3 linked regions of the Tribolium castaneum genome follow. Each later gene encodes a partner of the first gene's protein in a complex. Links are inferred from orthologs where the notes say so. Each region holds a gene or a part of one and is shown on either strand. Other genes may lie near its edges.

Region 1 (4,017 bases):
CACATCAAAATTTATGCAAAATTTGACAATCACCGTAAATTAAAAAAAAATTACAGCTCGAAGATGACTGATAAAATTATATTATCTGAAAAGTATTCAAAAATTAATTTAAAAAAATTAATGTCACAGAAATTTTGAGCAAATTAAAACCAAATTCGGCAAATAGAAAAACAAAGACAGAAAAACATCTGCAAGCAGTTGAAGCTGTTTAAAAAATACACAAAGAACAAAAAAAAAGTTATAGCAGTTCCATCTTACATAAATAAAATTGCGAAATATTGGGAACAATAAAATGATGATTAGGAACTACAACAATGTCAAAGAATAATTAGTAATTAATTTTTTATAACTTAGCAAAATGCTCTGTAATTAAAATTTTTCAAACATTAGCATTTACGTTTTCTTCAAAAAAATCCATTGTTCCCTAAATCATTAATACTTTTTAACGATTGTATTTTTTGCAATAATTATAATACTAATAATTATAATAATAAAAAAACCTCGGAAAAGTAGAAATATTTTTAAATTGTATTTAAACTGAATATTTCTAAATATTTTATTACGTCTTAGACAAATAAGAAAAAAAAAGATTGTGTACAACTATAATATTAATAGACACATTTTACAAGGAGCAGTCACATTTAAAGATTTAAAAGTTACCTTCGACAACAAACTTTCGTTTGTGAATATCACAAATATTGTTAATAGCTCGTTTAAAACTTTAGGACTTATTTATTGAAATCATAGAGAGTTTACGAATTTAAAAGCCCTAATTATTTTTTGCCCTTGTGCGTTTCAAGTGAGAAAACTGTGATCATTTGTTCAATTCTTTAGAAATCAAAAGAGCTATCTTAAGTATCGCATTCTAACATAAATTACTGAAAAATAAGATAGACTGTATTAATCTGGCGAATAGGATAATTTTTCTGGTTCCTAGAATTAACTCACGTTATTCAATGACTTTGTTGTAACCATTGTAATACTAATATTCTTTTAAAATCGTCGTTGTACGAAATGTGCAGTAATTTTAATAATATTACTAGTAATTGTGATATTCATTTTCATTCATTTAATTACATAAAAAAATTGCATATACATTTTTTGAGACTTAGGTTAAATTTCATGTGGTTTTTTCTTTTTTTTACTTTTTGTTTATAGTTTTTAGGAGCACGATTATTTTATATTTTATTTCCTGCATTTGGGTAACTCACCTCTTAAACCAAGAAACCAACAGTTGGTTTAATTTAAACGAATTAAAAGCCTGATGATGTTTATTATATAGACGAAACGTTACAACTCATTTTACTTAAAACCTGTTACGGAAGTTGATCCGATCGTCGTTGATTTTGATTCCAATAAATAATAATATTAATTATTATTATTATTATTCACTCTCAATTTTTTTACACAATTTACGTAGAGAATTAAATGCGTTAATGGCCAAAAATTGTGGCTTTAAACTTAAAGGGGCATTGATTTTTAAATTTACAATTAAAGTGATTATGAAATAAGTTTTTCGTTAAAGTCAACATTAAATTTAAATCAACAATTAGATTTATTTATGAACTCGACCCTAAGTGTTAAGTAGAAAATAAAATACTTTTGGCCCTGTTGTAGGCTCTTGGGAATAAAGAATGTATCATGTTTTTTTTTCAGTTTTCAGGATTTTTTTCTGAACTAAATAAACCATTGATCACATTTTAAAAGACTTTCTCTCATACAACCCGAGTAGAAGAATGTATCTTGTAAATAACATTCAAAAACGTTACTTATAACGGCTGTAAAACACCTAAAAAAAGCTAAAATTCAACGCTGTTAGCCCCATTTTTTGTGGTCTTAAACAATTTTTTAAGCAACTTATTCGCGATATATTATGTATTTGATAATAAATAAGCTTCGTCTGGTCAGCAGATGAATGAAGAACGACCCTAATTCTGATCTTAGACTACTGTTGTAATCAACTCAAATCAACTGATTCAAAATTAATCACCTCGCCATCCAGCTCTTCCACACTCTTTTCGATAAACCTGATGTAGGCATTGGGGCGCGGAGGTGCGTCACAAATATTGTAATTATCGAGTTCTTTGTAACTGGCTTCAGGTAACTGTGCCGAAGGCTCTGAAACATTTTTTTTTCGTAAAAATACCAAAATCCCACCCAAATTCACCTTGAGCTTGCTCGAATCGCCCAATATCGGGCACGTCATCGTCCGACAAGTCCTCCTTGGACACCATATCCAACGCTTCGTTAATATTCCACCGCAAAACCTGCCCATTGATATCAAACTGTACCATCTTCTGGGCCTCTTCAAACGTCAAAGGTTCGGGCACACTTGGAGCCGAAGGGACCGCAGCCGGAGTGGCCCGAGCCCGTCCTTTCTTGCTCTTGGGCGTGCTGGGGGTACACGGTGGTAAAGGTGTCGGGTTATCATGGTCGTAACTTTTCAAATGGTACTGTAACCCGCACACTGATTTGTACGTCCGGCCGCACTTTTCAATGGGGCAAGTGTAAGGGGGGCCATGGTCGGCTCGCACTTTCTTACAATGCTCCAAAATATCGAAATCTATGCCCATTGTGGAGTGAGGTTAGGTTGGTTGGAGGGAGCAAATCACAACACTGGGGGGGTTTGCACCGGTGTGGGGGGCACAATTGGGGGTTTTGGAGGCATTACCAGAAAAAACACTGGTGTGAAGGAGGTTTTAAGCGAGAAATTGTGTTTTTATTGATGTTTTGGGTCAACATCAATAAAAAGGGATACCAACTGTGGCGGTGGGGGATTACAGTCACTATTAAAGCGAGTTTATTTATTTAATTGGGGATTAAGTGAGATAAGATTGAGTATTGGGGACAGATATGTTTGAAATAAGTGTGATGTTGATAGTGTTTGCAATAAACACTGTACTAATAATTTTTTTTGTTTGGTTTTGCGGATATTCCGCCCAACGAAAATTCCCTAGATTTTAGAAATCTCAACTCGGACACTGCAATTATAATAATTACCAATAAAATACTCAAATTTGTTTTTTATTAGTCGTTTGTTTACCTTTTTTTAAGAAAACGAAGATAATTTTGCCCCACTTTGACCCAGTTTTGGTGTTTTTAATCATAGTAAAAAAACTGAATTGAGATGCAACAAAGACAGACACATCTTTTTATGAATTAACGTAGAGTGCGTATTAATTGTTGTAAAGTTTGTAAGCATTTTATTGGGCCGTTTGAGGTCGGCCATTAAAATTGCGGAGAAAACCAATCACTTAAGTTTTTTTGGTTCATTGAATAATTGTGTTTTTGGATATGATTGGTCCATTTAAGTTCGGCCATTATAATAACGTTAGAAACCAATCACGTTAATTTTTTGGACTCATTCAATAATTTATTGAGAATGATTTGTTTAAATTTAGCAGTCACGAAATAAACTGTAATTTTTTAAACGAACTTTTTTAATGTTTCTCAAAGTCAAAATTTTAGTGAAAAATAGCAGCAGTTTATCTCATTTGCCACAAATTTGCTTTATTTATTAATCAACTATTACTCTATTAAAATATATTATAAAAATTAAAAAATAACAAATAGAACGTATTTATTTCCCATCTACTAAAAATTTTACATAAAATTTCAAAAATATTAGACAAAATTGGAAGATGTAAAATAAACAGAGGTGAAAGTAATATTACCTTTGACCAAATTTTGTAGTTTTGTGATTTATTTGAAACGCCATTTTGCAAAGCGAGAGAAAATCCCAATAAGTTCGAACAGTTGTGCTGGATTTTTTGCCTATTTTAACAAAATCTTGCATAATAAAAAAACCTTTAGTTCAAAAACAAACTAAAACAAGTGAAATAATCTAACATAGCATTAATTTCGATCTAATTTCGATCTAATTTAATGTAGGTAAGTAGTTTCAGCTAATTAAAGCAAATTTTTTAAAAGAAATGTATCAAGATAACGATAGAAAAAAGACAAATTGAACACTATTTTCAGCAATTTGCGAAATAATTACAATTTTGTATTGTAATG
Region 2 (9,851 bases), on another chromosome or scaffold:
CGATCTTTGATTGTTTTCGAATTTAATTGCCGATAATCAACACACATACGGTGTTGCCCATCTTTCTTCCGCACCAACAGTATGGGACTCGAATATGGCGAGTCTGATTCTCGTATGACTCCGCTACCTAACAAGTCATTTACTATATCTCGAACAATTCTTCTTTCGTGATGCGATAACCGATAAGGACGATAAATTACAGGTTTATCATCAGTCAAAGTTAGCTTCATTTCTGTCGCAGTTGTGGCACCTATTTCCGCTACATTTCGTGCAAAACAATCTCGAAATTCGTTAACGAGTTGTAACAATTGCTCGAACTGAGCCGGGTCTAGATTCTTATTGACTTGTGTAAGAAGTTCCCACCGTTGAAAACTCTTTACCTCAACCTTCCCCATAGAAAACACACTCACCGTCGTAGCTGTCCTTTCCTGCTCGCAAGGCTCAGCTCTCGCAACGATTTGCGCCTTTCGATAGACCAGATCTTGGTGCGATAGATTGCGAACGGTCACTAGGCCTCCATCACATGTGACACACCGATGAACAACGTGTTCGAACCCTGGTCTCGGACGTTGACACCCTTCAACGTAATAAGCTCCTTTCCACCCATCGTCTTTTGCCTTGATTCGTATGCAACCAATGGATTGAGGAGGGATCACTGTTTCCTCTTCCGCCCAAAGTGCAACTTTTCGTGTCGGAAGTTGGCCTAGAAATGCTTGGATCGATTCGTTGTTTCCGTCAACTACTCTCACAGCTTCCTCATTTGCTATAATCGTATTAGCACCCGCATTCAGGAAGGTCTGTCCCACTATGACAGGCACACGTTGTGCACTGTCTTCGACGATCAAAGCTTTTACGTTTGCCTTGACAAGATCCACTTCTAGCTCTACTTCGACTTCCCCATGCACTTTGGTGATTCCCTGGCCATAACCACGAATCAAATGTAAACTTGGCTGCCACATCAGTCCCAATTCTCTAGCAACACTTTGCTTGACAAGGACCGGTTCAGCTCCTGAGTCAATGTAAGCTCGCGTCGGCTTACCATTGACCTTAATGTCTATGTAATAATTCTTATTATTACTTGCGTCAGCTACACTTGTCGTTAGTGCCTGCTTAGACATGTTTTCTTTTACTACGTTACCACGTCGGCACTCAGCATCCACATGTCCAATGCGACCACATTTCTTGCACTCAATTCTTGGTTTCGGGCACTTTGTCGCAACATGTCCTCGATTACGACAATTGTAACACCGAACTGACGAATACAGTTTTTGTGCTTCGACTCGACTTGGAAGGAACCTCCTCCTTTCCCGAGGCGCCTGCTTTGCGAGCGTATCCCGCTTGTCACCTTCGGATCTCAGAGTCGACAAATACTCAGCGTACAAGCTTTCGGGTGTAACGTAACGCCCTGCTCTAGCCCCATTTCTGAGAGTCACATCAGTGATTCCATCAATAAGACAGGAGACTGCATTCGTTCCTGTTATGTCACAAGCCTGCAACAGATTTAATTTCCCAAAATAATATTGTGCCCAGGTTTCACCGTCTTCCTTCACCCTATTCACTAGCTTACGAAGTGTGGAAGCATAATCGTGGTGATCGGGGAAGGTGGCTTGTAACAAACGTTTCCATTCATCCCAGCTCCGGTCGTATGCTGAGGGATCGAGATTGTCGTACCACTCCTTGGCCAACCCCTTGAGTCGACTTATCATGCCATAAATCGTTGTACGTTCGTCCCAACCGTTCACGAGAGCCAACTGGTCAATTTTATGCAACCACTTAGTGGTACTAAAATTGGGGTTTCCTGGAGCGAATTCAGGAATCAGGTCACTTTTAATGCCAACTTGTCCTGATGTGTGCTCAAAATTGCGGTTTAGCAAACGTCGATTCAAGTTTTCCACAAGTTGCTCAAGTCTCGCGATTCTAGCGGACTCGGCCGAAACTGGGGGTGAATTTACTGTAGTGGAGACCCCAGGCGCGGACCTTTTCGGCCGTGGCTCATCGTCACTTGAGTCCGAGTCGTCCGAGTCCACATTTCCTCGGTACCTGTGACGCCCCATTGCGAAAATCTCACCAGAAAACTTTTCGCGCCTTTTGAGCCACACCCAAATGAAAATTGACAGCGTGTGGTTGCGTAACTCCTAGAACTCGTCAGAAATCAGAAAAATCAGATAAATTCGGCTAGCACCCGATTGATTTGTTCGATTTCAAGTCGTAAAACACAATTTTGTTACGAATGAAACGGTACAGATTCCCAAAACTTCAATTTTTGGCCCTTGCCTTGGCGACCCACAAATTCCTCACAAAATCACCACAATTCACCACTCTCTATCGGAAACGATTATTTGAGCAATATCCTACCGCTGCTCTGTAAATGAAACTCGGAATTCACCCAAAAACTAATTTATTAGCAAATTAGATTCAACAACGACATTGACACTGCCACAGTGTCCTTCCAACTAACTAGGCGTTGCCCGTACGCGCCTCACGCGTCATCATTTCCCGCCAATTTCACCAGCAGCGCCCCCTTCACTTAACAAATGTGCATTTAATTTGTACCGATAAAAAATGAAATTATTGCAGACATTCAACTACGATGAGTCTGCTATTACCCCAATGACCCATGTTAACCTGGCTTCCTATAATTGCTTTCTTGCTAAAATTAGAAAGTGGTGGGCTTTTCATGTCTTCTTCTTTCTTTAGTGGTCTTGAATTTGTCAAAAATTAAAACTTGTAGCATCTTTTAGAAAATATGAAAAACCCTTAAATATGTACATAAAAAAATTGATTAACGAATTTTGAAAAAACAAAAGAAATTGTAATTTTGCTGCACAGCTACCCAAGTGTCTAGTTTTTTATTTGAATATAGTTTTCTATATTTTTATTTATAAAAATATGTTCACCTACAGTATTGTTTCTTTTCATAGTCCAATCAAATAAAGGTTTAAATCTATTTTTAACCCACAGCAAGAATTGTTGCTAACATGAAAAACCTAAATCAGCCTTATTTTGGTCGTCCCATTTTTTGTCAAAATACCAACGTTGACAAAAAACATCTTTAAAAGATTTTTGAATCAACGGTATAAGGATCAAAGATTGATTTTAAGAATCACAATAATTCCTTAGTTATTTGTGGAGAGAAATGCTTTTACTAAACACGTCTGGCATATTACAAAACCATTTGTATAAGAAACAAGATTTTTCAAATACTTTCGCAAAAAAATTAAACGGATATTCTAATACGCTAATGATCGGATTCTCTCACCTAATAGAAAAAACATAATCCGAAAAAACGAGGTGTAGTAATGAGATTACAATTTCTTTGGAGTTTAGTCGCACACCTTTGTGTTTGTTTTTGACATAAATCTTACACAAGAAAAAGTTTATTTACTTTATACGATTTATAATTTATGTTCGTCTAATTAATTAATACCTTGTAATAATTTCTAACGCAAAAGCGTAATAAAAACTAAGAAAATGACATTTACGAGCAGACAATTTTATAATGCAGCAATGAGTGTTGAAAAGATAAAACAATTTAAAGAAAGTTGAACTTACATAAATACTTAAATTTATAGACACATACACTTACCGTACTTATTTCTTATTTGAATGAAGGAAATCATTTAATTGCTGAATAATTTTATTTATTGTTCCAAACAATTACATCGGTAAAAAGTGTACAATTTCAATATGCAGGTACTTAGATTCCAAACTCACAATTGAAAAACCTTAAAACTGTAAACACACACAAATAGGTTGAGAAAACAGCACAAAAAGTCATCTGTGTCTAGCTTTCTTATTATTAGTTTTTTTAGCACTTGCACTGAAACTTTTCTGTTTGGCCGAAACGTCTCTATTGGGGCTATTTCGATGGTCAAGCCCGTTCTGTACACCATTCAAGGAATTCGTCGAGTGTTTTCCTGCATTTTTCATCCCAGAATCTATATGGTTCGAATTAGGACCTAAGTTAGTATCACTAGAATCTCCATTAGTTTGAGATTCAGTATCGCTGTGCGGCTCCACTACGAGTAAAAAATAAAACTAAAATTACTTGAAAAAGTAACTGCTTGAACGTAATACCTGTACAGAAAAACTAGACGGTTTTAGCAATTTAATTGCCAAATCATTCGGCTGAAAAAATGAACGATGAATAAAAGCGGCGATTTTGTGCAATGTAAGTAGATCGGATCAGTGGCCTTGTAAATTTTTCTGTTAAGGTATTTCCAAACTAATTACTACAAAACGCGTTACAATGACCGATTGTTCTGGCGACTGTTATTACAAAATGTCTACATTCCATCGCCAAAAACAACGTTTATAGACTATCACAAAATTTTAGTTGCTAATTAAGTGAATAGGAGGCAGGATACAATTATTAAAAAAACAAAAAATATGAAAAAGTAAAAGTAACTTTAAAAATGAGAGAGATTCCACGGTAAACAAGCAAATTTTCCGACACAATTAATTTCTAAAAAGCGTTCATTAGAAAAATTATGTTGACATCAATGGTTTTTAAATTGCTGGGGCCATAATTAATTTACGGATTACTTCCGCATTTTTGCCCCACTGTTATTATGTAAATATTTTCCATTTATAGTCATCAAGTTACAGCATGGGAATTTTTTCTGACTTAATTAGAATAACGTACACTAAATTCAAATATGACAGGCGTCAAACGCTACTAAAAATTAGGTATTTATGACCTATTTACCCTTAACTTAAAACTCAATTTTCATTTTTAATTATTTTTTAATATAAAAAACACTGGGGCATTAGAAATTTACTCTTTTTTCAACTTTATATTAAATTCATAATTTTCGATGTTTCTACAGGGTTAGTCTAAAAAAGTATATTTTTAAAGCTAAAATCATAAAGATGAGCGTTTGCTATCAATTAAATCTTTCTACGCATTTTTTTTTCGGAATTTTCCTATAAATTTTTAAAATAAAGTTTAATTAAGCCAATGAAAAAATTTTTGTGCAAAAATAGATAAAAAAAATAATCATCGATTAAGTTAATCTTGGCAAAGTAAATCACAAGTTCAATCTTAATTACAGTTTGATTACAATTAAAAATGTTGGAAAATATGAACAACACAATAATTTTATTTTTTGGTGGCTAGAAACAATTTTTTTATTATTAATGGTTCCCTTCAGAAAGAATATCATTAGAATTTTTTCGTCAGTGACTTAATATTAATTAATTTAAATTATGTATAAAGAACTGCCGAAAAATTCTCTGTGTAATTATTGAGTTTTGAGACACAGGAAGAAAATACTTTTAGCAGAATGACACTGTACGTATACACCTCAATTTCAATTTCAATGCAATATTATTTTGCAAATTCTGAAACTCAAACAAAAACGATTTTTAGAACTAATCCTGAACTAGTACAGAATTTATTTAAAGCCCATGTGTTACAAAACTAAATCCACATAGTTAGGATATTTTTTACCCTACTTCCCTCCAGTTTGGAACGCCCCTGCTCAAAATTTCTATAGTTAATTTTTTTGTATAATCAACTGTCAGTGTCAAAATTCTGATAAAGACTGTAACACCCTAAAAGTTCATGTTCAACCACTTTAGAAACTGGCTGTATTCTGTATTTGACAGTTTGAACACCAGATTTGACATTTTTGAAAATTGGACGTTAGTGTTAATCGTTAATTCGTTACTCTAAAGGTGGTCTAAAATAACTAAATGTGTTGTTGTACGTCTTGTAAATTGGAGACAACTTGAAAAATTTGGAAATTGAATTTTCTAGGTAAAAAATTACACCAACCTTAATTAAAAAAAAATACTATTTATGATAATGCCAACCTGACAGCTCTTATTACATTAGATTCTCGAATTCGATTGGGAATATAAAGATTATTAACTGTATCAAATATTGTAATATTATCTGTAATGGTTTCTGAAATATTGAGAAAAACTCACTAAAAGAAGCACCCCTCGCTACTGTAGTTACATAGAAAAACCCCTTGTAATAGTAATTCTGACTAAAATGGTTTTACTGTGTAATGTTCTTGCAGACATAATTAACGATAAAATATACAATTAAAGAAGTAAAAAATATTTTTATTCGTTGTTCCTCAAAATGTTCAAAATGTCTTTCAATTTACTTCCAGATGAACAACGTTTACAACATTTTTGTATAGTGATTAAAATATGTAATTCTCTGATTGTTTTTTTAATAAAAATACTTACGAGTATTTTGTTTATTTCATTTTAATGAAGACAAAAAATGTAATTCGATCATCCGATTGGAGAACCTCTTGCAATAGTAAGTATTTCGAATTATAATAGGTTTTAGTGTATTTTTATATAGTTTATGATAAAACAAACAATAACATTAAAACAACTAAAATTAAAAAATAGAAACTTGATTTTTTTAATCAAATTTAAATTTTAAATAATATGTTCAAAATGTCTCTAAACGTAACTGCCTGTTATACATATAAAATTGAAACATGCTTTTAACAGGCTCACTAGGTATATTTGTTTTTCTTTTAATACAAATACTTACTTTTGCTTATTTAATCATTTTAATTAAGAGGAAAAAGTTAATTTGGTAATTCTAAAAACCTCTTGCAATAGTAATTAGTGCGCATTATAAAAATTTTACTGTATATTATTTTGGCATGGTTTATGAAAAACTAAACAATAGAAATATAAATAAAAATATAAACATTTGATTGTCCTAGTGTTCGTTTTACATAAAATGGTCATAAAAAATGCACCTAACATCTTGCGATTTAAATCAAGAACTGACAACCTTTTTGGGTGGAATTGAAATACCGTATTTACCACCACTATTTTTATTTTAATTTTAAGCAAAATAGTCCCGACAGGGACTCCTCTATGATCTTTTGTGATAATAATAATATTAGTAATAATAAAATACCTGTCAATTAACTTTCTGTTGAACGAAGTGTTGCAATGCAAACAACAGTTTTTATATAAAATTACAATTCTCTTAACAGGATCACTCTAAGTTAAAAAAAATGTTTCTTTTTATTCGTTTTAATAATAAGAGAATAGTTAATTCAAAAAATATCAGTCCGAATTTATTAGAGGTTTATGATAAATAATAACAATAAAATAAATAAGTAAAAAAAATATTTGTTTGTTCTACTCGGTATATGTCCCTATGAAATTTTTTAAATAAAAATACTTATTTTTTTTTATTCAATTAAAGTAAGAGAAAAAAGTTAATTCGATAATCCGAAGAACCTGCTGCAATAGAATTCGTTCGGATTATAGAAGTTTTACTGTTGGTGAATTGTTTTTGTAGGGTTTATGACACAACTAACAACAAAACAAATAAATAAGTAAAACTAAATGTAAAATGTTCAATATGCCTCCCAATTTACTCCCTGTGGGAGTTGTAAGCAATGAAAATAAACTCTAAATTATTGTAATATTTTGTTTCATTGCTTGCAAAATTTGAATAATTTTAGAGTAAAACATTTACAGAGCTATTGGAATGTCTCTCATTTTTCCAGTGCATATAAGAGGCAGTGACCAAACTAGAGAAAACATCTATCTAGAAGAAAGTTCACAGCAAAACTACCACAAACACTACAAAAAAGCTACAAAACGAATACAAAAAAAACTAGACGTATGAATGATTTTTTATTTCATAACTATTCTTACTTTTCTCCTGATTTTGGTCAACAATTCCACTAACCGCCTGTAAAACGTTCATTAAAATACAAAAAAAATACACAAAACTCGTCCCAACTCACAGCCATTGAGGTTATGGACGATTTAGAAAACAGACGTTCGGCTTCTTTAAATTTCCTATTTCTTTTATCAGCCTTAGAGTTTGTTGTTTTGTTACTCGATAAATACCGATCCCAGCCTCGAATTATATTTCCATACAACTGAGTGTCTTCTAAATAGGAACCTTCAAACGCGTAAATTTGGCGCTCGAGATTTGCTAACGTCTCCTATAATTGGTTAAAGACCGCGAATTTAAGCCAAACAGAAAAACATTTCTTAATACAAAGCTTCAACATTTATAAAGTAACTCTTACCGCAATTTCTGCTTTTCTTTTAACAAGTTCTGCTAACTCTTGGCGGGCATCCACCGAAACATTGTTTTTGGCCGACATATTGTTCTTATTATCACAAAACGATAAAAGGAAACGTTACACTTGTAAAGTCGTTGTTTTATGCTAAGTGCCTCAAGTAATTACACTAAAAATTGTTTATTTCCAACAAAACACCTCACAACTTGACGTTTCGCCAAATGTCAAATACGTCACCCGTGACGTCGCTGCCAACATAACAACCCGAAAAGTTCCACAAATTCTGAGGTTATGATCATTATGAAATAATTAAAAAACAACAAATAGTGCCAAAAATACAAATAGTTGCAATAAATCAACATTCCAAACGCTCAATTTGTCTAAAACTTGTGCAAAATGTCCAACGATAAGTTACTGAGAGTCACCCAAATGAACGCAATTTTCCTTGATAATGAAATCTACAAAGCCCTTATGCGAATTCTTCACGAGACTAGCCGTTTCTTACCCGTAAGTGCCCCCTTGTTAAGGTTTGGTTGCCTGAAAGTGTAATTTTAGCCTGGTTATATAGCCCCCATTGAACCTGAGTTGGGCCTAATTGTGCGTTTAGCGCTTCTGAAAAATTCAGTCTGTCGCAATGAGAGCACTTTTGGGCAACAACTTTTATCAATAAAGTACAGCAACATGTCGAATTTCAAGAAAATTCTTTACTTGTTTGGGAACTGTTTTGATTACGTTAAACATCGTCTCGAGTTCTGGAAGCCCTCGCATAAGGTTAACACGTTTATGTTTAAGATACACATGGTTTTAGTTTTATTGAATTTTATCAATATGTCCATATTTCTACGACGTGGGGTTAAACCGTTATTGATAGAAAGGTGTTTGGGTTTGAACCAAGAGTACTCAACCAAAACTGCTCCAAGGCATTTTGAAGCGAAATATTTATCTAGAGAATTACTTTGGAATGGATTTATCGTAAGAATTCTTTCAATTTAATTTATTTTTCCGTTGATTGTTTAGATAACCATAGTAATTATAATTATACAGGGTGTCTCACATAACTTTACGAGGCCTGCGCCAAATGTATACATACGCACCCAAATATTCAAGAGTCACAAAACACTAGATACAAAAAATTCACATTTGATTATTTATTTTGTGGAAACCCGTGACAGTAATCTGTTTATCTTAATCACTAATTGACTAAAAACGTAATTTTTTGAAGGAGTGAACAAACAAGAAAAAACAATCCAGTTTTTCAAAATTTGTAATCGAGTTCGTATATCGGAATATGTGTTGTAGGTGGCATTTTAGAGGCGCAGGTCGCGTAAAATTATGTGAAACATCCTGTATTATTTGTCTGAGATTAGGCAATCAACTGTGCAATTTTGGAATATTTTACTTTTTTTAACGAATCAAGAACAATGAACGGAAAAATTGGTGCAATGATTAATCGCTTGTTGGTGCATCAAGTACTTTTCCAGGATGTTCTTATTCATATAATCCCACTAATTAATTACCACAAAATTAAGAGAACAATGAGGCACTTTAATCCATTCCACAAAAAACCTACTTATGTTGTCCTCAATTCGCGTACCATGACCATGCATTCCAAGTGTGCACATTGTGGGGAAAATCCTATTTTGCCTCATCATATGGGATGTGCCCATGTATTTTGTTACGTGTGTTTAAAGGTATAGTCCATATTTTTTTGTAGTCAAATTCAAATGTCAAAGAGCCGTCGGGTTGGCATTAGCGAAAACATTAATATTTTGAATTAAGGTTGGCGTAATTTTTTAACTGTCAAATTCAATTTAAAAATCT
Region 3 (10,922 bases), on another chromosome or scaffold:
ATTATTTCTTGGTCAAAACCCGATATTAAGCCCCATTTTAACGTACAGGTGTACTAAGTCCGGTCTAAAGCAAATCACTTGTCCCAGCGGATTGGCATTTGACATCGATAAACAAACATGTGACTGGAAAGGAAAAGTCAATAACTGTGATAAACTTGAGAGTAAGTCGCACTTTCAAGTGCGGTGAGGGAACGGTGGCTGTAGAAATTATGCGACCGCTGTTTCGGCTTCAATAGAGCAACGAATTTCAAAGACTGTGTAAAAAATTATTCAGTTCTCCGATACAAAAGTGTAGAAAGTAGATGGTGTTTTCTAACTTTAAGCTCGATTAACGAAGTCGTTGCATGCGCTTTTGCTATTCACTAACAGCTTCAGACAATCCGCACATTAATCAACTAATCCATTGTGCGTTTGCACGGAAACACACGACACCACTCAACTCCAAATCATTTCAAACGTCTGTTTCTTTTCTCCTTGTACCTACACAAGCAGTCGGTACGTTTCTGTCTGTCTTAAATACTTACACATTGTATGTACAAAATACATCTTTCTGTGTTCATCTAGTCTTTATTTACAGACATTTTTCTTGAATTTTCTTACTGATTCGAATGGTTTATCTAGCGTCCAACAAAATTGTTTTAAGCAGATAAACCATTCATACATGGTGATTCAAATAATTTTACACCCTGACGAATTTCAAGTGCAACCAATTACGCAGTCATTAATTAATTCAAAATTACCAAGGTTCAAAACACGGACCCTCGATTGCATTTAAATTCGTTGTAAAATTATGGAAATCATACGTGTAATCAATCCTCATCCACAATTGTATGTTTTCTGTGTTGTAATTAATATTTTTTCCTTCTTTTTCTTCGTCTACTTTCTATGAAATTGAAAGATTTGCGAACAATGACGAATTTTGATGTAAATATTTTATTTTTTGAAGCAAAGCCAGTCACAAAAGTACACACCCAATTATTACACTTTGTACATAGCTCTCACCCCAAGGTTTTTTGATTGGATTGTTATTGTTTAAACTACTGTTGTTTCGTTTTTTATTCGTGCAATTTACTATTTAAAAAATCAAAATCTTTAAATACTATGGGTCGGTTTATAGAAGCGTCATTAAGTTAATCGGCAATTAAATGCGTGATTAACTGATCACGTGACCAAATTGAACAAATTTTATTGGTCCGTTCGCGTTGTTAACCTTTAATAATTAAATTTTAACAAAGCTTTCATACTTTCAAGTAAAAAGTGGAATTTTTTTTAGAATAAAACGAGGCGGTATTTACAACATATTACTTCCGTAAGCCGGAAGTGACATTCTGATAACGGCAATGACATTTGCTACATTTTTATGTACACACCTTCACTTTTACGTAACTGTAAAACTAGTAAAAATATGAAAACATTTAATGAAAGTCAAATAAAAAACTTTTGGGACAAGTTTTTAAATACAAAAATGAAGCAACAGGAGTTATAAAATGTAAATTTTTCGGCATTTCGTGACGCTGTTTTAACTTTAGAGCCCCGCAAGGTCTTGCCCAATTTTAAAACGGACGAGCCCATCTGCCCTGAAGGGAAACTGTCTTGTGGCAATGGTGAATGTATCGACAAGGAATTGTTCTGTAACGGTAAACCCGATTGCAAGGACGAATCTGACGAAAATTCTTGCAGTAAGTAACTCATTAATTATTTAAATTCGACATTACAATAAGTCCTTCACAGCTGTGGAAACCGATCCAAATCGGGCGCCTGATTGCGACCCCACCCAGTGCGTTCTCCCTGACTGCTTCTGTTCCGCCGACGGTACCAGGATCCCCGGCCAACTGGAGCCCGCCAACGTGCCCCAGATGATCACCTTAACCTTCAACGGCGCCGTCAATGTCGACAACATCGACTTGTACGAGGAGATCTTCAACGGAAACCGCGCCAACCCCAACGGCTGCCAGATCAGGGGGACCTTCTTCGTCTCGCACAAATACACGAACTACTCCGCCGTCCAAGACCTGCACCGACGCGGCCACGAAATCGCCGTGTTTTCGCTGACGCACAAAGAGGACCCCAACTACTGGAGCCAAGGGTCTTACGACGACTGGCTTGCCGAGATGGCCGGAGCGCGTCTGATCGTTGAGCGCTTCGCCAACATCACGGACGGTTCCATCATCGGCGTCCGAGCCCCGTACCTTCGCGTCGGAGGCAACAAACAGTTCGAAATGATGGCCGACCAGTTCTTCGTCTACGACGCCTCCATCACGGCGTCCTTGGGCCGCGTGCCCATCTGGCCCTACACCCTCTACTTCCGGATGCCGCACAAGTGCAACGGAAACGCGCACAACTGCCCCAGCCGAAGCCACCCGGTCTGGGAAATCGTCATGAACGAGCTGGACAGACGTGATGACCCCACTTTTGACGAATCTTTGCCTGGTTGTCACATGGTCGACTCCTGCTCGAATATTCAAACAGGCGAGCAGTTTGCTCGTCTCCTCAGACACAACTTCAACCGCCACTTGAACAGCAACCGCGCGCCTCTCGGGCTCCACTTCCACGCCTCCTGGCTGAAGAGCAAGAAAGAATTCAAGGAAGAGCTTATTAAATTCATCGAAGAGATGTTGCAGCGTAATGATGTCTATTTTGTGACCAACCTCCAGGTCATCCAATGGATGCAGAATCCAACTGAGCTGAACGGCTTGCGTGACTTCCAAGAATGGAAGGAGAAATGCGATATTAAAGGCCAGCCTTACTGTTCCCTGCCTAATTCGTGCGCGCTGACTACGAGGGAGCTTCCAGGAGAGACGCTCCGTCTGTTCACCTGCATGGAATGCCCCAATAATTACCCCTGGATTTTGGATCCCACAGGAGACGGCTTCTCCGTTAGGAAATAATTTATTTTATTTTTATGTCTTAAGTTTGATTTTTTTAATTTAAAAGACTTTGTATATAGCTATCTATAATCAATTTCCTATTGCAACTTTTGATAACTGAATCAACAAATATAGTTAATAACTTGCCACGAGCTGTTATACACAATAAGACTACAGATGTGTTATGTAATGAAATTTTGTTAAGAAATAAAAGACACAAAACCCATTTTTAAAAAAAATTAAAATCAAAAAGTTACGTGGATTTTACAAAAAAACTGAACGTGGTACGAGGAATAAAATTCCTTAATGTTTTATATCGCCAACAGTTCGAACTCCTGCAAAATTCAAACTACATACAAAAAATCATTTAGTGTTCTTGAAGGTGGTCATTACATATTTTAGTTAACTTCATGTAATACACTTATGATTTTAAAGTTAGGTTAAAAATGGTGGATGCGCCGGGCTAATGTATAACATGGTACAAATAATTGGCCGGCGTGAGCTGTAAACATATCAACTGCGATCTAATAAAAACAAAACGTTAATTAAAACATAAATTAAAATAAATTATAGTATAAAAAAAATAATTCATAAAAAAATTAAACAAATAAATTCGAAAAGTTATTAGTAATTTTTCACAAAAAGCTTTCCACAAAATCGTTTTGTCTTATTTTAAAAAGAATTTTATTGCTAATTACTTAAAAATACAAAAATTGTTGTCCTTTTATAATAAGCTAACAAGGTTGTGTGTAATTGTTTATTTTCGTAATTTTTTATTTATTTTTCTTATTTTTTATGGTAGTGGTTTTTAATGAAAACATTCATTTAATGTGAGTGTTTAATGATTTTTAAAACTAACTAGCAAATTGTTTTTTTGCTGCGAAAAATAACAGGGAAGAGAGTAGGGAGTAGGAGCTCCCTGAGTTCAATATCCAAATAAATTTGAAATATTATAACAATGCAATAAATTCACTACTATTAATCTACTTTTAAGTTGTTTATAACTTCCGTAAAACTTTAAATTTTATCTGATCATTTGGAACAGGATTGAAACTAACTTTCAGTACTTACACCTATGCAACACACAAAACATCCGATTCAAATTTCTCTAGCCCGCAGCTCGAGAGCGCGCGCGTAACACTTTCATTAGATCGATTTCGCTGCACGATATGAAAAGAAAACAGAATAACCCATTTACAGTAGTGTAAACGGTCAATTCTGCAAAATGTTTGATTTCGCAACGTCCTCATGTGTTTCGTGAAACGAATTGAAAAAACCGTGTAATGTCAATCAAAAGGTAGAGGTCACGATGTGAAATAAACTTATCAACAAAGCAATGTTCATTGAAACCCAAATGAAAAATATAGAAGTTAAAACTGTTAAAGAGAAAGAATGAAAATTGCTCACAATTTCAAACATCTCATTTTGCTGTTGAGGTGGTCTTACACCGTCCCTATTCTGTGTTACATCACGTTTTTTCTAACAATTTGGATGCTGTCCGTGCCACTAAAGCCCATCAAAATTGTGAAAGAAATACGTCTTGAAAAGCCCGAAGATTCGTTCGAAATACGAATGAAAAATAGTAATTTCAATTCGGATCGAAAAGACGAAGAAAGCTCCCTTCTAAATAATAAAAACGAATACTTGATCAACATAAATACGAACGAAAACGCCAACAAGGACCAGACTGAAATCCTTCAAGACGTATTTAAAAGGTAGGTGCAGATTAGACATTTATTAGAAGTGTAACTTAATTTTTAGAGCCGACAAAGACGGAAATAACAAACTTGACTCTAAAGAACTTTCCGAATGGATAAGAAAAAAAATTGTTGAACATATTTCCACCGCTGTTAGCAATAATTACGCCCTATTTACTATGATAGACGTTGATCCAAGAAACGGTGTAATAACTTGGAAAGAGTATCACACGTATTTCCTCAAAAGGCGAGGCTTTAGCAAGAAATATGTGGAAAATCATGACGAGAAACGGCACAGAGGCCTCCAAAGATCAATCAAAGGCAAGTAAAAAGTTGCAGTGTTTCAGTCAAAAAAAAGGGCAAAAAACAGAATAAAAACCGTGTATTTATTTTTATAAAAGATTACAACCACGGAAAAATACAAACATGAATTCACTGATTGCATTCCAACTTCCAGTTTGACGGAAGAAACTCCTTTAGGGCGGTTTTGAATCCACTCAATAAACACGGAGTGTTGCAACTTTCAACTGCAATCCTCTCTGGATCACTTTTAATATCATCCCGATATAACAACTAGAATATGAATATTACAAAAAAACTACTAAAATATGAATATTATTTTACGGTAATTTGTGAATTGTTGCGCAATTCAAAAACCAAGGAAGCACCAAATCCGGGTTTTAGCATCGTCTTGTAACCCAAAGTTTTTAAGATATTTACAAGGGTAAGATCATGTGCTGCATACAAGAAAAGCAAAGGGCTCTTTTTATCTGTTTCCATGTCTGTTATCACTTTGCTCAAAAACACTCCTTGAATAATTATAGCAATGAAATAGAGACTGAAATTATCAAAAGTAACGTAACCAACCCCCTTTCATTCTCTTCATAAAGTTTGTCTCAGTAAATGTTTCTAAACTTCTGGCTGCGAGTTTCCGCATTTGCTCCCAGGACACGTTTTGCGTCCAAGATGGAGGAGTCAAATTGTGCAAACGTTCAATCTCCAGAGTGTTGTACAACAATTCAACTTTCCCAACAGAATCCATTTTCTGTCCCGTGTTTTTTGTTAAATAGTCGTACAATTCCTTATTTTCTTCATCGATTTTCTTGATCGCTTCGGAGTGAAAAACATCAGCGAACTCCTCGTCGTATTTTTTGCATTTAGCTTTCATCGCAATCAACTAAAATTCCAGCTTTAGTAATAACTGTACTGTTGGCAATTTCTGTTTACATTATCCTGACTTCGGGGAACGTAATGTACAGGAATGGGCTGCCATAAGAGGTCTTTATTCCAGACTTGATCATCTCTGGGTGGAAACAGGCCGGCCAGTAAAGCCTGGGCACTCATAAGGCATCGGTCGGCATAACTGCTCATGACTTTTACTTCATCCGGAAAATAATATTTGGGGATAAAGTCATGGTAGAGTTGCCTCATTTTCAGCCCAAGTAAATACATTTCCAATTTGCCGCGCTGGAAAAAATCGGTTTATTTGTCCCCACAATCATTGTTCAAATAAATACGTTTGTTAATTGACCCCAACCTCCTGACCACGTGACGTTGATATGTGGGTCATTCTTGTAGGTTTCTGTGGGGGCCCGTTCGCCATGTCTAAACACCTGAACTTTTTTTCATAAACGTTTAAAAATAGTGATACTCACAATATGAAGTTGCGTAAGTGTTGAATTTGTGGGAATGATGCCAACAGAGGCGATTAGCATAAGGAAGGAAAGGGGACATTTTAGAAACATTGAACTGGCAGAACAACTTCGCGACTGATATCAAGCGCAAGAAATTTGGCGCACAATGCGGCTATTGATCACTTCAACGCGTGCTGAGCTGAGCTTATGTGAGCTTACTTATGCACCCAAAAAATTCCTTAATCTTGAGATTCTTTCTCGACAGAGTTTGGTGCTTATAATTGACACTATTTCACTGGAACATGTTTCTATTTTTTCCTCTGATAAGAATATCTTAATTAAATTTAACAAATAAGCGATTACTATGAACAATAAGCCGTATAAAGTTATAAAAATGTTACACAACTGAGTGTTGCGAAACACAAGGGTCGTCAAATGAATTGTTTATATTTATATTTATTATATTATATTTAAATTTTGGATTCACCCAATATACAGGCTGAGTCAGTAATTTGATGAATAAATGGTTATGTTATGCCAATAACTCAAGCTCTTCAAGGAACAAGGATAATATCGCGCTCGATATGGAATATGATATCATGTTTGCTCTTTACAGTATTAATTACATACAAAAAATAGCAAGAACTTTTTAGCTAAAATACTAAAATACAGAAGAGTGATAATAATTGGTAATGTTTTTCTTGTAGAACAAATAATGAGGGACAAAGCGTCTTGGATGGAAGCCGCTCGCTCCAACCCTGACGCTTTAACAGTCGACGAATTTCTGGCCTTCACCCATCCCGAATCCAGTGCTGCCAACCAATTGGCACTGGTCGACGAACTGTACGACAAATTCGACCGAGATGGAGACGAGTTACTAACAGAGGACGAATTTGCGATTCTCCAAACTGAAGGTTTAGAAATTCACGACAGTTAAATTTACAACCACTAGTCATTTTTAGGTAACGACGACGAAACAGTCATTGTCAGACAAGACGAAAATGAAAGACGAGCCGAGTTTCGCAAATCTGTTGATTTGAACGGAGACGGTCGAGCCGATAGGAGAGAGCTTTTACATTACGTTGCACCGCAAAGTCCTAGACACAGTGAACACGAAGCTGAAGCCCTTCTAGCGTTGGCCGATGGGGATCATGACAATATGTTATCACTCGATGAAATACTCGCACATCCAGACCTATTTTTAAAATCGAAAATGGTTGACACCGGGCGAAGCTTTCACGATGAATTTTGAAAGAGTTAGTTCTTAATCAGTTAATCACGAATATAAGACTGTGCTTTTAAGCAGATGCAGACGCTATTTTAGCTAGACACTCAATCGTTTCTTCTAGTTAGACAAGAGATATTTTTCAACTCAAATAAAGAATAAATAATGCGAATTTCTTTCACCCATCTTTTTCCAAGACACTAAAAATAATTTAGCAAGGAAGAAACCCCAGTTGCTTAAATTACGTATATTTTCTTTTTTTTATTAGACAAGAAATATATAGTATTCTCTGGTTTGAGCGTCATGTCGTCTTAGCGCCAAAAAGTTTTAATTTATTTTAAATCCAACCATTCCATTAATTTTTTTATATTATTTTTTTGTTTGCTATATGTTAACTGTTATACAGTAATGAAACAACTGCGCTCCCTGGCGATTTTAGTGGAACTATCGAGGATGGGAACGTTTAATTCGTACGTCGTTCCATTTCCTAACCTTTAGATATCCGTATTCTCAACTCAAATAACGAAATATTTTTTTACTCATCGATTTTCAAGAAAGGGAAGATAGTTTACCAATAAATAAACAAACAACAAATGCTTAAATTACGTTTATTTCCTTAATAATTCACACGATATAAATTTAATAAAATAACAAATGCATTATTGCTATTTCGTAACAAAACCATGTTTTCAAACGGTTTAAACTTAAGGAATAAGTTAAAATAAAAAATTGTCTAATCTTTTAACGCATCGATGCATTATTTCTTCTTTCTGTCTTGTGTGCATTTAGGGCAGTACCATTTACCCTTGGGTTTAGTTGTCAAGCCCACACAAGCGAAATGAAACCATTCAATAGGGCACTGAAAATTATTAAAAATTAATTTGCACACAAAACGAATTTGATTTCTTACATCTGGGTTATCACAACCGATCATTTCTCCGTATGATACTTGATGACAAAGGCAATATGTTGGTTCGTTTGGATCGACAGGCATATCCAGAACGTCGCTCGGATGTGCGATTCCAGCTAAGCCTGGCAGTACAGAGACTGAATCAGTGGCTAAAATAAAATTATTACAAACACTGTCTGTAAACGAAGGAAATATGGATTTATGCGTCATGTAAACACGGAGGCCTATAATGGCATTTCAGTTGATTTATTATTGTATGTTAGGCCTCCGTATTGTGAGATATAAAGGCAATGAGATGATACGAACCCTCACCTAGGGCAGCTTTGGCGCCACTGCCTGTAGTACTGCCACTATTTCCAGTAGAACCGGCCCCCTTTTGCTTCTTCTTCTTTGTGCCCCGAACTGTTCCCGTCGAGTCTTCTTCACTTGAATTACCAGGACGTTTCTTCTTCTCCGTTTTACCATCTTTGGTTTTTTTCCTACCTTCTGGAATAATTACAGTAACTATACATTTCACTTAGCAATTCTCTTACTCTTGCCAACTGAGGGCTCATCCTGGTTGCGGGAATTCAGAGCTTTGTCTTGAATTTCAGACTCAAACCTCGCTAAATCATTGTCTAACCTCCTAATGTGTTTATCAACTAGTTCATAGGTTTGAATTGCCAACTGGACTTTATCGTCACCATATTCCTATAAAAGGTAACAGTTTATGAATAAACTAACTAAACTCTCGCGTTACTTTTGCTTTGTTGAATAACGATTGGATTTTAAACAGTTGTTCCTTCTTCTCCTCTGGACTAATGGTTTTCTGATTTCTCAAAAAATTGTCGGATAGAGAGTCAATATTTTGCATTAAACCTTGCGCCCGGGAATCTAAATCCCGCATTAAAGTGAAATTTCTTTGCAACTCGATTGGTAAATGTTCCAAGCCTGAAAGTTTTACAATTACGTGTCTCTTGAACGCGTTATTTACACTTACTGTCCAGGTAATGCTCCAAATACAAGGCAGACGTCATGTTAGCACTTAATACTCTTCAAAACTTTCAAATTCGTAAGAAAAATCCTATTATTTGGCGCTAATAATAACAACACATTACAAAAACGACGCTGACAGCTGTCAGATTTGACAACGGCGTTCCAGCGTCGCCACATTTCACTATGTTCCAGAAAATTTAAAAAATCAAAATTATCCAAACAAAAGGACAAAATTACCGAACACTTACTTCAATTTCTTCAATTCACCCATAAATAACAAAAACAATTTATATAACTGGAGAAATGCTGATTTATTTTTTTGAACGTCCCCACGTGGCAACCTTGTTCACTTTTTTTGCTGCGTTATGGGAACGGCGCGTTATGGAAATTGTCTCTCCAGAATCGTTATTTATGCAATCTACTTACAGGATGGTTAAACTGATTGACGAACCACCCGTTGCTTGAAGAAAACGGTTTACATCGTGTGGTTGAATGTGGTGTTTCTCTTACATATTTAACTTTTTTTAGTGATTTATTACTACAGTTTCTCCACATATTCAAAGACTAATACGAAAACAGTAAATACACGTTGTTTTAATTGACAAAAACCCCAAAAACGATAGACAATTCGCAACACTTTCCCTTGTATAGATGGTTGCCTCCAAATAATTTTCAAAATTTTAAACTGAAATTTGATACAGGATCACAAAAATGTAGAGGAAAAATATGTAAAAACCTTTTTAATTTCCTCTGCAATAGCGAAATTATTTTTGCTCTGAAACTTGGAAAACTTCAAAATCAATTTTGGACAATGATTATTTGATCTATCCAAAAATGTAAAAATCTTTTTTTGTGCTCCTCCACACACATTTTGGTTTTAAATTATTATAAAACTGATAAAACTTTGTTAAAATTTTAAACTAAATGATAGACAATCCACAACACTTTCCTTTGTATAGGTGATTGCCTACAAACAACTTCCAAAAATTGCAAATTTAAAACTGGATTTTGGAGCAGAATCATAAGAATGTAAAGACCTTGACTTTTTGTAATCCTAATACACATTTTGGTGTATGGCACGTGCCCCAAATATTAAGCTCCCGCCCCGCCCACAGACAGGGTGTTTCACATGATTTTACGACGCCATCGCCTGTAAAATGCCTCCAAGAACACGAACTCGATTATAAATTTAAAAAAAATTAGAGTCTTTTCTAGTTTGTTCACTGTGATAATACAAACTGTCCTTACTTCCTCACTTAAGGATATTTTTCGTAACTTATGAAAGCGTTAAAATAGCAAAAAAAAAACAATAAGGGTTGTATTTTATTTAAACCAAACGATTAAAGACAAAATTATTTGGATAACAGTCGTAAATAATTGTAAACGGAATGAAAAAGTCAAGGTTACATCCGCGAGTTCGTTTACCTCTTCAAAGATTACTCATGATGAAACTCTGCGGTCGTGTGTTTGTTATGCACTATTTTTCCTGCACTCTCACAAAAATGAGTCGAAATTTATAAGAAAAAATGTCTCGATCGCGCCTATTTCCAAAACTTTTTATTGTTGCCCTAATCTCGCATTCATACAGTTCTGAGGAAAACAATGGTCAGTATT

What was found.
Region 2: Br140 (region 1) and Eaf6 share a complex: the UniProt entries of both Drosophila melanogaster proteins name them as parts of the enok complex. The link is inferred for Tribolium castaneum from reciprocal best matches to the Drosophila melanogaster genes Br140 and Eaf6.
Region 3: Br140 (region 1) and Ing5 share a complex: the UniProt entries of both Drosophila melanogaster proteins name them as parts of the enok complex. The link is inferred for Tribolium castaneum from reciprocal best matches to the Drosophila melanogaster genes Br140 and Ing5.

Annotation. Positions count from the first base shown.
Region 1 is NC_087401.1:11,385,140-11,389,156, forward strand, and holds the start of Br140 (peregrin), read right to left. Parts: upstream 2,801-4,017; 5' UTR 2,574-2,800; coding exon 2,168-2,573; intron 2,119-2,167; coding exon 1,991-2,118; intron 1-1,990. UniProt on the Drosophila melanogaster protein: Scaffold subunit of the histone acetyltransferase (HAT) Enok complex which has histone H3 acetyltransferase activity.
Region 2 is NC_087398.1:15,238,751-15,248,601, reverse strand, and holds Eaf6 (chromatin modification-related protein MEAF6), read right to left. Parts: upstream 8,256-9,851; 5' UTR 8,115-8,255; coding exon 8,037-8,114; intron 7,950-8,036; coding exon 7,746-7,949; intron 7,691-7,745; coding exon 7,654-7,690; intron 4,020-7,653; coding exon 3,775-4,019; 3' UTR 3,620-3,774; downstream 1-3,619. Other genes in the region: uncharacterized protein LOC135266307, read right to left, coding at 1-2,054; peroxisome biogenesis factor 2, read left to right, coding at 8,427-8,537, 8,586-9,002, 9,512-9,721. UniProt on the Drosophila melanogaster protein: Component of the Enok complex which has a histone H3 acetyltransferase activity. Might be involved in transcriptional activation of selected genes.
Region 3 is NC_087398.1:9,636,844-9,647,765, reverse strand, and holds Ing5 (inhibitor of growth protein 5), read right to left. Parts: upstream 9,639-10,922; 5' UTR 9,350-9,638; coding exon 9,313-9,349; intron 9,264-9,312; coding exon 9,073-9,263; intron 9,024-9,072; coding exon 8,867-9,023; intron 8,820-8,866; coding exon 8,640-8,819; intron 8,483-8,639; coding exon 8,334-8,482; intron 8,283-8,333; coding exon 8,181-8,282; 3' UTR 8,016-8,180; downstream 1-8,015. Other genes in the region: testicular acid phosphatase homolog, read right to left, coding at 4,997-5,137, 5,189-5,373, 5,432-5,741, 5,792-6,031, 6,082-6,177, 6,220-6,309; myd (45 kDa calcium-binding protein), read left to right, coding at 4,260-4,582, 4,629-4,885, 6,906-7,112, 7,161-7,450; cuticlin-1, read left to right, coding at 10,835-10,913. UniProt on the Drosophila melanogaster protein: Component of the Enok complex which has a histone H3 acetyltransferase activity.